Linked DNA regions of Drosophila melanogaster. The protein of the gene in region 2 interacts with the protein of the main gene of each other region in a pairwise test. Each region holds a gene or a part of one and is shown on either strand. Other genes may lie near its edges.

The links. The genes of interacting proteins can lie anywhere in the genome.
Region 1: the proteins of esg (region 2) and Clamp interact in a two-hybrid assay, tested with the Drosophila melanogaster proteins (one large-scale study listed by BioGRID).

Annotation. Positions count from the first base shown.
Region 1 is NT_033779.5:22,163,783-22,172,780, reverse strand, and holds Clamp (Chromatin-linked adaptor for MSL proteins), read left to right. Parts: upstream 1-3,637; 5' UTR 3,638-3,893; intron 3,894-4,137; 5' UTR 4,138-4,245; coding exon 4,246-4,401; intron 4,402-4,460; coding exon 4,461-4,661; intron 4,662-4,714; coding exon 4,715-5,144; intron 5,145-5,204; coding exon 5,205-5,478; intron 5,479-5,527; coding exon 5,528-5,731; intron 5,732-5,793; coding exon 5,794-6,229; 3' UTR 6,230-7,061; downstream 7,062-8,998. UniProt on the Drosophila melanogaster protein: Transcription factor involved in X-chromosome dosage compensation in males, the process by which transcription of the single X chromosome in the male is elevated. Binds to the DNA sequence (GA)n.
Region 2 is NT_033779.5:15,330,562-15,338,298, reverse strand, and holds esg (escargot), read right to left. Parts: upstream 4,434-7,737; 5' UTR 4,206-4,433; coding exon 2,793-4,205; 3' UTR 2,161-2,792; downstream 1-2,160. UniProt on the Drosophila melanogaster protein: Transcription factor that can both stimulate and repress transcription. Binds to the consensus DNA sequence 5'-A/GCAGGTG-3'.

The DNA of each region.
Region 1 (8,998 bases), 6.8 Mb from region 2:
GGCGCTGCCGTACAGCTCGATTCGCGAGAAGATATAGACGCGATATAAAAAAGAGAACAGGAACGAGGAAATGAATAAATTGTAAAATAACTATATTAAATATTAGTGTTAGTAGGATCTAATTATGTAATAGAAAAGTTAAAATCGATTGCTTTAAGAGCGGCAGAGAGTCAAGATTACAGATAATAGGATAAAGTCTATTGTAGTCAGAACATAAAACTCTGTAAGGGTCATGCAACTCATAGTTAGATCTACAATGATTTAAGATAAGGGGTAAATAGTTTCTAGTGAATCTACTTGGAACAGAGAAGTAAAGCCGACTAATCAAGTCGGGACTCTCAACATCAACACGAATAAGCTTACAAATAAAGACTGTTCCAAGCATAGTTCTACGGTTAGCTAGGGACGATAAATTAATTAAAAGTAGTCTCGGAAAAGTAGTAGACTCGGAGAATAGAAGATAAAGAATTTTTAAAGAGGACTTGTTGTGTCCTGCCATTCAGATAGCTTGAAATCCAATTTAGAAGATCAACGGGGAAACCTATAAGATCAGGTTTTCTTATTAGAAGATAATGATTAAAAGAGTCAAATGCTTTACTAAAATCAGTGTAGATGACATCTGTTTAAAGATTAGTTTTGAAACCTTGTATTACGAAAGAAGTTAGCTCCAAGAGGTTAGTGGTTATTGATCTGCGTTTCATAAAACCGTGTTGACACGGTGATATGATTGATCTACAAAGGTGCTTCAAATGAGGAGTGATAACATTTTCAAAAAGTTTTGGGATAGCCGACAATTTAGAGATTCCTCAGTAATTGCTTGCATCCAGTTTGCTACCTTTTTTATGCAGAGGAATCATAAAGGACTCCTTCCATATATGAGGGAACTGTGAAGATTCCGGAGATAAGGTAAACAGTTTCAGTAGAGGTTTGCACAAGGCTTCCGCACAGAATCTGAGCACACAGGCAGGGATTCCATCAGGACCTGGCGAATAGACCGGTTTAACACGCTGAAGATCGTTAAGCAGTGAGCTTTCGTTTATAATGGGGCAAAATATTAGATTCGACTTAGATACCGCATAAGAGTATGGCTGTTCGGAATGAGGTAAAGTTGAATATGTTGTTTGAAAAAACTTGGCGAATAGGGCTATTGCCTGATCCGATGTAACCGTAGTGTTTTCTAAAAATAACGAGGAAGGGTAAGAACTTGTTTTTCGCTTAGTGCTAACGAAATTATAAAACTGTTTCGGATCCTGTGCAAACTGGAACTTACAACGGTTTAAATAATTATTGTAGCACTGATCATTAAGCCCGGTAAAGCTTAACCTAGCGCTTAAATATTTACAGAGGGTGGACTGAGAACCGGTATTTTTAAATTTTATATAGAGTCTGGACTTTACAATTCTTAGGTGTGTCAACTCTTTATTAAACCAAGGAGGTTTAAGGAGTTTAAGTCGTGCGTATTGGGTTGGCACGACAAAAGGTCATAACTTTACACTTGGAGCCATTTAAGTCTAACACGTGTGTTGTTGCCCTCGATGATTTTCTTCTATTCCTCAACTTCACTGAATTATTTCATCCTCACTTCGTTTCCACGAAACTCTACCAAAACAACAACTGGCGCCATGCTCATTTGAATACATACACAAAGGATTTTTACTCAATAACGGAACGATTTCCATGAATTTCATTACTCTTAACTCATTCTTAACATAACGGTTCAAAAACATAATTTCGGTTACATTCAAATACTGCGTTAGATCTACTCAATCTCCGACATACATATGTATATTAAGCCGATATAAAACACATGCGGTTTGAACACAGAATAAAAGCGGGAAAGATATATATCTTAATGTAAACACATAATTAATTTCTAATTTCTTTTACATCACAAGCAGCTAAACAGATATACATATATTTCATTTAAGTTCTATTACCACCAAATTATTTTTAAATAAGAGAGAACGCTTAAGCAAATTTGTTGGACATTGAGATACCGTTTACACAGCCAGAAGGAATGCAAAATATAAACAATGAAAACAAAAAGTTTTGGGTGTTGAATTGGTCGTGGCGAAATAGTTCAAGCATATCAATACAAATTATCAAGAAAAACAACTTAATTTTTTAAGATAAAGAACTTTTCAAAAGTATACGAACAGAAGGATTGGTAGCCGAAGACAAGAATATAAGCACGTTATAATGCCCGAAACGCTTCCTTCCGTTCCTTCTGACATAATTTTTTCCAAAACCATACACATAATCGTTCGAAATCACTACCATAAAACTTGTCTTTTCATTCCTCAAAAATAGCTAATAAATAAGCTTACTATCTCAAGACATTCCCTTAAATGCTGTTGTCATAAAAAACATTTGACCACGTTGGTTGCCTTGCCAACACTAATAAATTTTTGAATTTGGGCGCCGAGAGTATTTAAATCTTTTGGAAGCTGAAATTTTCCAACACCAAACAGGACTCGCAGAACTTTGTTCATCCAGGATCTTAAGCTCAAAACCAAAACGTATGCGAATTAAAATTGCTGCTATTTAATTATTTAAAAGAATAGTTTTTATTTTTTATTAATTAATATTTATTCGGCGACAGACTTCCTCACTTATACTATTACAAGACACTTTATTACTAGCTTATCTTTGATTTGAAGCTGTTCACGATCTCGTCCCGACTCAGACTGATCTTCTAAATCTTAATCCTAATCCACTCAACCTCGGCCAGAAGCTTTTCTTTAGGATTCTCTTAAGCTTTTTAATATGTTTAGGATAAAAGCTTTACACTGAAATTATTTCCCAGCATTGTGAAATTCAAATTTGCTGACTGACGCAGTTTGACTGAAGCGCAATAAGTTGACCATGGCTTGGTCTCCAAGTGGAAGTTGTGTTTACTTTAAGTTTGGTTATATATCGGGTGGCTAAGTGTTGGCGTCAAAAACAAGGGCAAAGGCAACGCTGCTGAGATTGGAGTTAGAAATTTGTTTAGCTTTTGGTAGAGTGCTATATTTATGGGTTGGATAACTTGCGTCACTACGTGGGGCATAAAAAATCTGTTGTCCCTTAACTCACTCCCCTACATCGAGTGATAAAGATAAATAGGAATTCCTAAAAGATTTAAGTATACAAAAATAAGTACGTTTTATATGGAATCTTTAAGAATTAGTTAAAAGTCGAGTGCCTGTAAAATTTCGTTATCTTATGGAATTTGTTATCAACCATGGCCCATGATCTTACCAAAGACACTAGAATATTCTAGTGTCTTTGCTCTTACAGTGTTACCTTAGCTTGTAGAATATTAAAAGTTAAGTCTCAATAAATTTAAAACGTGTTTTTAACGCAGCTCAGCACAAGATATTTCTTTTCGAAAGCTAGTAACAGCCAGATTCTACTGATCGTAGCGTTTGCCTTTTGAGTAAGAGACAACATGTAAGACAACATGTGATGTAATCCAAATTACGAAGTACAAAACGTATATAAAAATATTTATGTTTTCTGAGTTATCGAATTAGTGTAAAAGGGCTCTAAGAAATCCTACCAGTTCTTTGTGAATTTTGGTATATTTTCGAGGGAAATGATTATTTTCATGAGTCGTGAAACGGTCACACTTTTAAAAAGTAAAACTGCTGCTCGTCTGCTCTATCTCTGAGCGTTGTTCTGTCTCCATCTCTCTTTAGCAATCGTAAAAAATGATGGACTGAAAGTTAAAGTGCTGGAATTTGTTAGAAAAAGATAACACTATTTAAATATATATCTTGTATTATTCCAAACAATATATCGTTAAAATACGTTATCAATTCACGAATACAATTTTACACCACTCAAATCTTAACAATTTTATTGTGGAGCAGGCAGTGCGCAATTTATGGTGTGGTCCGGTTGCGTAAAAGGTAATTTTAATAATGAAAAAAATAACACATGTAGTGTAATATTGTATGATAAAAAAACAAATGTGCTAGACTCCAGTTTAGATACTAGAGTCTGTTAATGTAAAGAGCTGCTGCATTAAACGTTCGTCTGTGTATGTTTTGTGTCGCGTATGTACATATTTTTTGTCTCACCGTCGCCATTTTTAATCAGTCGTTTTCGCTGGGTTCCTATGGCACTATATTCATCTCTTTTTCTCTTTTATAGAATTAGCGTCGCGTGATGCAGTGTTGAAAAGCGCGACAGAGCTGCAGTAAATAAAAGGCCAACGTATGATAAAAGTTAATTTTTGAGCATACTCGAATTTTGGGGACCATGGAAGACCTTACCAAAAACATTATCTTCACAAATGCCATTAATGGGCAACCGGCCACAATTCAATACCAGACGGCGGATGGCACCATTCTTAAACAGCCCAAAATAGAGGGCCAAAAAACGGAGCAGCAGCCTACCTTCTATTACACGACAAATGTAAGTAGTTTACTTACTATATGTTATTGGTGCTGACTTTTCATATTGTCTTCACATAGGGCAATGGCGGTACCGTCAATCTCGCACAGCTGGCCACCACAGACGACAATAAGACGTGTTATATAGCCCAGCCCGTGGGCGGATACAATTACGCCCTGGTCAACGGAATGCCTCTCAATCAGGGTGCAGCTCTTGGCATCGCCACGGTAGACGCACAAGGCCGCATCCAGATTGTCAATCAAAATAAGCCAATTGCAGCTGTATGTAAAAGGAAGACTCGTTAAGCAAAGCCTAAAGATTTTCTTCTTTGCAGAACACCATATCCAACATAAGCTTTAAGTGTGACGTATGTTCAGATATGTTCCCTCATTTGGCACTTCTTAATGCTCATAAGCGGATGCATACAGACGGGGAACAGCAGCAACAACAGCAACATAACGCCCAAGCGGGCGGCGATTCTATTGCCGTGGTCAGCGCGCAGGGGCTTGTGCAGGCACAGAACATTATTGGAAATGGTCAGATGGGCCAGATACAGATTGTGTCTTCTGACACGCTGGAGCCGGTTCAGCAATCTGTAATGCAGCAGCAGCAACATGAGTCAAAGGCAAGCAAGTGCATAAATTGTGGAAGCTCTATGCTGCAGCAGTCCAAACGCAAAGGTCCAAAGCAGGTGCGCTGCGAGTCCTGCATGCAGGCTGAACAAACAGCGCAACAACAACAGCAGCTCTTCGTCGCCCAAGACGGTAGTTGTGAAAGATTACATTCTAAATGGACCATAACTAACTTCATCGCATCTTTTGCAGGTCAAATGGCGCATCCCGTGCAAATCATATCAACGACTCCTCAGGCCCAAGCACAACTTCAGCAAATTGTGGCTGCACAGACTGGCGGTACAACGCCAAAGCGAGAGGCGAGCAGTGGGTCTGGCCATCATCCTGTGAAAAAACGAAATTCCCAGCAGATGACCAAATGCCAGAAATGCAATGGCTCCGGCGTGGTGCTAGTGGGGCAGCACTCCCATGCTTCACACAGCGGGGTGGGCGGATCGGTAAAGCAATCAGTTACTGTTAAAACTGAGTGAGTATAACATGAAATTGCAACCTTATCCTACGCTAACAAAACCAAGGTGTTTGTCCTGCAGAAATCCGTCCAAACCCTTCAGTTGTAATATATGTGGTGGTCTGTTTTCACGTTACTCAAGTCTGTGGTCCCATAAAAAGCTGCACAGCGGTGAAAAAAACTACAAGTGCAGCATCTGTGGATTGGCCTTTGCTAAAGCCGTATATTTGAAAAACCACGCGCGCATTCATACAGGCGAGAAACCCTATAAGTAATACCAATCTTCTACTTGAAATTATACTCTTTATACTAATTACCGTTATCTTTACATAGATGCCAAACCTGCGGCATGCAGTTTTCACAGTCACCACACCTCAAGAACCATGAACGCACGCACAGTGGCGAGCGGCCCTATGTGTGCGGTGTTTGCGACAAAGGATTTGCGCGCCACGCTACTCTTTGGAATCATAGGCGCATTCACACGGGCGAAAAGCCATACAAGTGTGAAATTTGTGGATCGGCCTTTTCTCAGGCGGCGCACCTTAAGAACCACGCAAAGGTGCACTCCGGAGAAAAACCCTACAAGTGCGAGATTTGCTCTGCAGCATTCGCTGATCGTTTTGCACTCAAGCGTCACCGCGGCATACACCAAAAGTACGGCCAAACTGCTCCTCGCCAGACCAGCAGCGATGGGATGATAGTGCATAAGCAGGAGATTCCTGACATGGAGGATGAGGCCCAACAGGAAGTGATTATCGGTGGGTTATAGATAGTTTAAATGCAGAGGTGACAGGCAGCTTAATGAAGTCACAGACACTGGAGTCCACCCTGCTTAGCTTCAGTTTATCGAGCGTTACTATGATCATCTGCCTCCACCTATGCTAGCCCCAGAACCATCTCTAAGGGCGCATATATCACCACAATGATATTAAAGAATAGAAAACGATGTTCCATCGTTAACACTTCAGCTGCATATGTCCTTTCTCCACTTTCATGTGGGATCTTCAAAAATGGGCGAAACCCAAAAACGCTTTTTACGATAAGCATACAAATGAACCTAATTTATTTGATAGCTTGTATAATATACTTAAACATCTTTAAACATTAAACGCATATATGTATAGGCATCGTATTTATAAGTGTTATAGGCTATTCTCTTATACAAATTGTAGGTGTAAAATATGGATTTATTAGGTGACGATACGAGCAAATCCGATACGTATGAATATGCACAGGTAATAAACACACACATATAAGTTGAAAGTTGTAAGCTTAAATATATTTTAATTAAATCTATCTAATATAAGTATGTATTAAATAATGCATAAAATCAAATAAATATTTGAATAAAATACAATTTTTTACTAACCTACTCCATTTGCAAGTGCCTTAACGAAGAATAGAGGGATCCCAGAAATAGGCACATTTTCCACCGTTTTCGACGTCTTATGCGTTTTTTTTTTATTAATGTAAGCACCATTTCACTTTAAATATAATTTTTTTAGTGTTTTGCCACGTTCATCTTATTCTTACGTGAAGCTATAAGGTCAGTAAATTTTAATGTTGGCAATAATATAATTAATAAATACACAAAACTTTAAATATTCATAGACGTAAAAGAGTAAAATAAAGTTAAAATTTATCGAAAATTAGATGATGTGAATTACTGCTGTCTTTTCAAAAAAATTAGAGCTGTTGATTTGTAAAATGGACGCACTCTTTTAAACTTCTTATATTTATATTTTTGCGTATTATCTGTTAAAAATAAAATATTTTTACATATTTAAAGTAAAGTTGTGAAGTGGCAACGAATTTTTTACAATAATCAAAACCAAGTGTTTAAGAATTAGGATTCATGGCTTGTATAATAAAGCTTTAAATTACTAGAATTCGCCATCAGTTAAATCAAGATAAATACGTATACGTATACATTTGCGAACATGGACTTTGCTTAGGGTCCATTTTTGAATTTGCGGTCATTACAAACTTATATTCATATGTATATAGGATTATTCAAGAATGAATACATTTTAGTTACACGGGATTGTAGTTTTGTTTCTTTTAATGTCAACTGGTTTGCATGCACTATGCAATCATGATTATATAGGAAGATCTGTGTCTGTGGTTGGTCCACTTTTTATTTAATATTTCTGCTACAGCTTAAAAACTAAATCGTTACAAAGTTACGGAAAGGATGCGTACCACAATCCATATTTATCCGGCCAATTAAATTTGACCATGGTCTTTGCCGCTTGGTAGAGTCCTTTTATTCGTGCCAATTATTTTTCCAATTTGATATCAAATTATTTTAAAGCTGTGGATAAACAATATAAGCAACATCTAAAATAGATGTTATATATATGTTCAAAATATAACAAAGCATTTCAAACTCATTTTTAAGCTAAATTGAAAGTCACACAAAACAATATATATACTTTTCACTGTTAAATTTCCGTATTTTCTTTTTTAAATTTTTTTTCTTGAAAACATAAATATTTTAGATTAACTCGTTCCTCAAGCTTAAATTTTATGGTGCAGGCACGCCATTAAACAAGTAAGTAATTATACGATTTTATAGTAACATTTTCATTTAAATGACTATGCTATTGGCTTATATTTGTCATTTTGGTGAACCGATCTTGGCTATTTAGTATTTAGTTTTTAGTTAAACAACAATTTCATTTTTCGACTGCCTACCATGCCAACCGTCCTTTGCAAGTGTGTTACAGCTTCCCACTCCACTCACCCACTAAATTCAGAAGAATTAAAAGTCCTGGCCTAAGCCCTATCCTGCTGTTATGCAATATTGGACAATAATCAAGTTAACCAAACCATTCGAGTGCTACTTAATGTATTGCAGTATGTAACCGAAATCTCCTGTCCAGAATGGCGGTTTTTATGCGATTAAAAACAATAACAAAAAAGCAATTTCAACAGTTACCTACATAAATGATGACTTCTCGGCATAAATAATTTGGGCTTCATAACATAAATACTTTTATTACAAATAATTTAGGTAATTTTCTTAAGCCTGTCTGTCGACTTAATGCTTTGGGTAACACTTTTTTTTGTCAAACTCGCATAAGCGTGCTTTCGTGAAAACCCATTCATTAGCAAAATGGTTGCCAAATAAAAATGAAAAACCGGTTAAAAAGGCAGACATACTATTGCGTCTATTCGTTCAAGGTTGTAGGATAGTTTGTTGCTATTTTAAAGTAACCTTTTACATATTTTGAAAAAAATGCAGTCCTGAAGTAGTTATTTTAGGGAATATTGGTTTTAGACGAGGTTCTTAGGATTCATTTGTTCGTAACTTTTCTTTAAAAGATCTGGATAATTTCAGCAAAATGTATTTGGTTCACAGTCCTCTTAATCAAATACTTATTATTCAAACAAACTTTCAATTCCATTTGTAAATTACTTTTCGAGCTAGAACTTGCTCTTTTGATGTTTTTACTAACTATAAAAGAAATTCATTTTTTAATTTGCTCATCACTTTTTAATGACACTAACACAAAACAAGAGAGAATGCTATAGT
Region 2 (7,737 bases):
TTTTCCCACAAACAAACCGAAGGCACAATATTCATTTGCCATAAATAAGTCACCAAAAGCCAGGGTCCCCAAAATCAGTCAAATTGTCGACGGCCTAACCCAAAGATCTTCATCATAGTAACCCCAACTGGACCCGCTACCCACAGTCGAATAGCTAGTAAAAAAAAACAAAAACAAAAAAGCAGCCCAAAATGCAGCGATCAAGCGCGAAATTTGGCACAAATAAAATAAAATAATCAGAAATAAAAACCCAATGGGCTGCTTTTTTATATATCTATATATATTTTTCATTTTTGGGTAGGGAGAGGGTCAAGCGAGGCAGTTAGCCTGCCGTTTTGTTGCTGTCCATGTTTTGGGCCATTTTTTATTTCATTTTTCTATTTTTTATTCGCTCTCGATCTTTGTTATCGAAAGCCAGACGAAGCCAGGCGAAGGCACACAAAAGGCCCTAAATGCGCGTCTATTTTGTTACAATTTAAGACGCTTATTAGAAATCGTTTGCAAATTGTTTAGCCAGCTAGCTGGCACGAACGATCGTCGTTTTGGGAGCAGAGCTCCGATCGACGAGCTGCGCTTTTTGGGGCTTACTCTGGTGCTGAGGGCGCTGGAGAGACCGGCAACTTGGACCCTGTGGATCTGCAGGCTGGGTAACCCGAGACTGAAGCAAGCCGCCGTGGAGGAAGTGGAGCCACGAAATGCGTGCATATTAATTTTCGTATATTTACGTTGGCCCGATCCATCCGATTGGGCTTGGATCCCTCTATGCACTGAAAAAAGCTAAACTTACATTTCCACAATGTTTGAAAAATGTAGTAATAAAGTTTAAAACAGATCTGCCTTCCATTAACTATGTCTATTTAGGTAAGTTCGAATGGCTTTGCATTAATGATGAAGAGATTAGCAAGTTAAAAATGTATTTATTCCTACCCTTTTCGCTCAGTGTAGCCACGTGAAACTTGACTAAGACTTGTTGCTGCCGTTGCCGTTTGGGTTTTGCTGCTTTTCTAGCTGCCTGATGATCTAATTTGGCAACAATTGTCGTGGTCGTCGATCGCTGATGCCGATGATCGCGGATCGACTGGATCGGCGGATCCCCATCCCCAAACCCATGCCAATCCCGATCCCGATCCCCACACACATGTGTGCGCTATTTGTGGGCCTCTGGAGCAGGCTCTCCTCCGCCTGGCGATCGATTGATCTCGATAATGAGTTTCGTTTCGTTTCGTTTCATTTCGTTTGGCTTCAGAGGACGCACCCATAATTTCGTATGCTCTGTCACCCGAACGATACCTTACCGTACGATTATGATTTCCCTGCGCTTTTCCGCTTGGCTGGATACTGGTAGGCATCGATCACACTTGATGATCTCCGGGCCAAGACACTATTTTCACTGCTCTCTCATTAAGATCGCGTCTCATGTCTAATACGACTTTTTGGCCGGGGCGCGGGTCTACTGAGGCTTGAAGTTTGATTTAGTGACTGCCATTTTGTGCTCGCGTCGTACGTGCACCGAAATTTAAATACATACATATACATATGTAATTTATGATCAGTCTGCCAAAGAAAATGCGCCTTACGTTTGCTTCACTGGGCGGGCCATAAAATGTCGCGAATGGCTGGATTGGGTCGGCTCTTATTTTCCGATCCACTCAATTCGATTTGTTTATTTGTTCGAAGAAGAAGAACATGACCCAATAAAACCAAATATGTGGCGAACTCTGGAAGAGACCACTCACGATCATTCTAGATTCCATTGAACCTTCTGCCGGAAATAGGAATTGACTTTTAATTGAATGTGGACAATAGAAAATGTGGTCTAAGCATTCAACAGATAAATATTTAAAGGTTGTATATATGTACATTTAAATATGTCAAATATTACATTAGCTGACCAGAAATGTTATAAAGATTTAACCACTGAAGTTGATATGAAAATACCATGCTTAAATATGATTAAATTAACAATGTTTTGGCATATAGGAGTATCAAATTAAGACTGTTTCAAATATATGTATGGTATTGTTAACATAATTACCGTATATAGAAAAATAAAAGATTTTTTCTAAGTTTGTGTAGAACGACTTGCATATTATCCTGAAATAAAAAGGTCCCAAAGCCCACCCATTAATGAAATAAAAACGTTTTCAATGTTTTTTTTTTGTATGTAAATAAAATGTATTTCCTTCTTTCTTCGCTTGATGCAATAAATTACTTAGAATTACAAAACATTTTCGTATCAAAATATATGTATGTGTTGTTTGCTTATCTTCACTTAAGCTACAGTAGAACATTTTCAATGTGTACGCGAAAAAGTAGTGGTCATATCAAAAATAGTTTACGGTTTTTACAGCTAGGCTAAAAATACTATCGTATAAAATATAGAGATGTATGTCTTGCTTACGATTGATTGTCTGGCGTTTCATTTGTTCAGCTTAGAGTCTACAGTTAGACATAATACATTATGTACAGGATAAATCGAAGAATACTTTACAAAGTTCATCTTTAGGATATATTATGGGCACACATTTTAAAATGGTTCAAACTATTCAAATTGGTGGTGGTGGTTACAAAAATGTTGCCGGATTGTACAAATTAAAACGTAATTTTTAATTTTCTCTCTTCTGGGAGAAAATGCTGACTAGAAATTAAAAAACAAGTGAAATTCTGCTTGAAGTTGTGTGTCTGCACTGGGAGTTTCGGGAACTTGGAGCCGCCTAAGAGAGCTAGGAACTAATTTTTGGTGGAACATGGCTGGGATCTCAGCTATATAATGTATATATAAATATATTGCCTTACGGCTCGGCATAGCCGGCGTAGTTGAGTTCGCTGCTGCTGGAGGATCCTGCACTGCCGCCAGGACATCCGCCCTCTGAATGCTTGGTTAGGAGGGACATCCGCGAGAAGGTCTTCGAGCAACTGGTGCAGGAGTACTTCTTGATGTCCGAGTGGGTCTGCAGATGTGCTCGCAGATTCGAGCGATCTGCAAAGGCCCGGTGGCAATGCTGGCAACTGAAGGGCTTCTCTCCCGTATGAGTGCGAATGTGTCCTTGCAGCAGCCATGGTCGCGAGAAGGCCTTGCCGCACAGATTGCACTTGCAGGGCAACGTGTGGGTGCGAATGTGCATCTTGAGGGCACCCAACGAAACATAGGTCTTGTCACAATCCTTGCAGCTGAAGGACTTCTTCACCTGATTACCCTCGGCGGCCGGGCAATGGAACTGCTGATGTTTGGTCAGCCCGGAGAAGGTGGAGTAAGATTTCTGGCAATCCGGGCACTGGTAACGCGGCGGCTGGTTCTTGTCCTTCTTGGCGGAGGCATTCGGCATAGTTTCGGGCGACATATCCCCGGTTTTGGCTGCTGCTTGCTCTCCCGGCTGGCTAGTGTTTAGATTCAAGTTCAGGTTCTTGTGTTTCAGGGATAGATCCTCGGGCAGCGAGGAGCTGCAGCTGGATTCAGGCGTCATCGATCGCATGGAGTAGTAGGAATTCTCGGAATAAGCCGGCGAGATAGGCGCATGGTGATGATGGGTATGGGTATAGCCGCCCAAGCTCGGATAACCGGGCATCTGTGGATAGGGCAGGAAACGGTGCTGCCGCACGCCGATTGGTCTATGGATGATTTCAGATCTCATGGGCGGGGAAACGGAGCTTGCGCGACCATGAAGGTAATGATGTGGTGGCGGCGACAGGGAGCCCAGCGAGTCACTCGGCGAACTGGGCGCAATGAGATCGCCACGCAGCGGCAAAATCTGATGACCCTGCTGATTGATGGTCCTGTAGAACTCGGCGGTGTAGGGCGACATGTGGAAGTTGTTCCAGGGATATTTCGGGTATGTGGGCGTGGGCACAACCACGGAGGCGGCTGCAGCGGCGGCCACAGCTGCGGCAGCAGCTAAAGCCGCAGCCTGGGTCTGATTTGGGTCCGAGTCCACATCCACATCGACGTCCTCGTCCTCCTCCTCGATGTGTTCATCATCTGTATGATCTACATCCACACCCTCGTCCTCGCAACAATCGCTGACGTTGATCAGTTCCTCGGAGGGATTTTCCTCCAGAATTTCCATTTTCTTTACGCACAAATCCTGCGGCTCATTTGGGGTGTTACTGTGATTTTGAGGCGCCTCGAACTGGTAATTAACTGGGCGCTTTTTTAGCGGGCACTTGCTGTAGTTTTTCTCCACCAACATGTCTTCCACGGTATGCATTTTACTGGCTTTTTATTGATAGTTTACCGGAATTGTTGTAAAATGTTCTTAATTTTCGTCACTTTGTTTTCAGTGTGTCATGTTCACACAGGCACAAATACTCGATCGATGCACAAATACCAAACGCGTGTTCCGTTAAGCAAAGCGATTGAATATCGGTTATATTTCGGGTATATTGCGTTGGGAGAGATGGTTATGTGAATCGGTTAGAGTCTGGGAATAACTGAGCGAGTTTGGCGGTGGTGCGGCCTTTTTATACTGCCCCTGCACTCGGCACTCGGCTCATTACACGAAGCTGCCAAAAGAGAACGCTCTCTCGGGCGTTCCGCCGAGAGTATGCATGTTCATTCAGGTATATGCGTCGACCAATCGCGGCACTCGGCTAAACAGGTTTCGCCTTGTTTATGTAGAATTGCCTCACGTGCCGAACTCGTACACTTGCACCAATCGAAGCCGCAAACGAAGCGATGCCGTTATATTTGCTCTAGTGTGGGCCATATATTCAAATATGTTTACCTGTGTGCATCGTGCTCTCCGCAGCTGCTCTCTCTCGTCCTCTCTGCATTTGCATTCAATGCGCAATAAGGAGATCTATGATCTTACCTAGAAATTTAACTAGAAATTCGAAAAACCCCACTTTTGGAGGATTAGCGAACAAGGGTTTCCTTTTACCTCATTATCATTATCAGGTGCATCATTAGTTGACTTAATAACTGAAACGCAAAAAACATGGGCAGGTACCCAACATAAAATACTAACATTTTTAGGACACAGGGCGATGCATTAATGAGCAGGTAGACTTCTGCATCAATAAAATGTTTTTTGGCAGGAGAAAGGAGTGAACGTAGTAATTGTAGTCACTAAATTTGTTTATTAACAAGTATGTTATTGTACGGAATCAAAAGTAACCAATATTCAATCGATTTTGCGTAAAAAGTTTTAGAAATATTGTATTCCCCGTTTATAAGTAAACAATATTAAATATATTAACATCTTTCATTATGGATCCTTAGGAATATTTATAATAAATTAATAGCTTTACTACTTCGGCGTACTAATATGATTATTCTGTAATTCATCATTAGATAATGATATAGAATTTTTTTCTGCGGGCATGTTCCGGTAATCGAATTGGCGAGAATTTTACGACTTGGATTTGATTCGATTTTGTCCAAATACCCAGAAAAAATTTTAAAAAAATAGGAAAATTTCTCAGAAATACAATACGGTAAATATACAACTAGAACGTTTAGAAAGAGCCAAGCTAAAATTCAGTACGAAAAAGAGCATAAGCATTCTCTTTAAGCCAATTGCTTCTCTTCACTCTCACTGTTTCGATTCCACTTTGTTTCTGTTTCGCTCTCGAAATTTTCTCTTCGATTTGAAAAACGTTTGAGGCGCCAAAGCCACTAAAGGCTGAATTGTACCTTTTTGACAAAACGGAGAGAGATATTTAGTTTCTGTTTTTTTTTTTATTGGGTAACACTAGGCTATATCTTTACGATACCAAAAATTGTGGGCGTGGTCCGCCCCTTATATTTAATTTTGTTACCAAAATAAATACATATCTTTTAAGTAAAAAGACATTTTTGGGATCAATTTTTGATTTGTACTCTTAATAGGCCTTCTTCTTGCAAAGTTAAGCAAACTTTGGTTAAGCAAACTTTGTAAAGGCACCTCTGCTTTCGTGCCAGACACTAAAGAATTATTTAATCGGCAATCTTTCTTTTTATTTGCAGCACGAGGAAAAAATGTTTATTTTTTGTTAACTCCCTAATATATTGTTCTTTGTTACATTTTGATCTAAAATAAGGGAAATGCACGTCGTTGGCAGACATTTTCTCCGCGACATGCTGATTTATTAATGAAATTTTGGCTTTCTCAGGGGATTTCTCGATTAATAATTTAATATTCCCTGCCGTCGATTATGTTAACCGTGCGGGATTTTTTTTTTTTTTAAATTTCTGGTACGCAACACTAAAGTCTAATCTTATAATAACATAATGACGTAATCAAAACTTAATATTACGGACTTTTTTGGCCACAAAAAGGTACCTTTCAGCCTATAGTCCATAGAAGCGATTTCAAAATACACATATTTATGCGTTCTTGAGATTTGCGGGAGGGAAAGGATCCATGTAGTAAACAACTGGTAAACAATTAAGGAGCACGTCGAGATCCTCAAGTGGAAACCAGCACACACATGCACGCTCGACACGAAGTGGCAGATGTGTGGCAACAACACCCAAACAAACAAACAGCGAAAGTGTTCACCCGACAGATAAGATAGTAGGTGTGGCCCCCTCCTACCGACCGATGTCCAATGGCAGGACATAAATCAAAGGGAAGCAAACCACGCCAATTTCTGATCACTTACCTGGAATCACCGCAATACTGAAAACAAATTCATTTATTAAGGAAGAAAGTTATTTGTAATAGTTTTGCATAGAAATTAAATACGTTAAATGAAATACTAATTGTTAAACAACTAACATAAAAACTATAAGCATGCATGAAATTTCAGCATGTCAGTATAATGCTATACAGTTTACAACATATTTTTTTCAGTGTAGAAACCACACACAGTTGGCATTTAACTTAATTAGCGTTCTTATCAAGCATTTGTCCCTGTGGCAGGGCGACTGCTGTGCCTGTGAGGACTCCGATCCAGATGCAGATCACTCCGTTGCACAGTAATTCCCAGGAAGCAGACTATCCGGGCGCAAGTGCGATTCCACTGAGATTGCCAAACGAGGAACCCAAAAACCGCCAGCATAAATTAATAGATAAACATGTGCAATTCTACAGGACAGGTTCGAGTTTGGCGGCCAGTGATGACCATCTGGATTATTTTTCTTCCAGTCGATTACCTTTAATCAATACATATTAATAAATAAATACATATTAATATTTCTCAAAAATATTTATTTTAAAATATAATAATTAGAATTTTGACATTTAATTATATTGCTTCCAAAAATACCTTTTAATAAAATAAGAATAAAATATAAATTTAATAATAGCTAGTTTTTGGAAATATCCCTATAACTGTTTAGCTATTTTGGCCACTATTTGCGATCTGAGCCATGTTCTTCGATTTACATGCCATGTCCAGGTACTTTGGGTATGGATATTGAGAGCAGCTTGAGTCCCTGGGTCTGGGCATCTGTTATCTTATCGCACGTCGTTGGCTTGGCTGTGGTTATATGGCCAAGCTGCCCATGACGTCTCCTCTAAATTCGCCTTAGAAGTCTGGTAGACGGAGTCTCTGTTGCCGTTGTCTCTGCTCGATAGGCTGTTAACAAAGATTTAATGATCTTGTTAACTAATTCGTTTTTTTCTGGCTTCGTTCTTGACGCTGGCCGTAGTAAAAGTGGTCGGGAGTGGGCCGGGAAAGGACCACCCACCGACACAGCGACTATCCATCCATTCGACCGCTGTGCAAGTTAATTAGTTTGCGTTTGTTGCCGCTCTTAAATCACACTCGAACGGGTTTATTGCTAGGAATTCCACGCCAGCAAGTGAGAGTGGA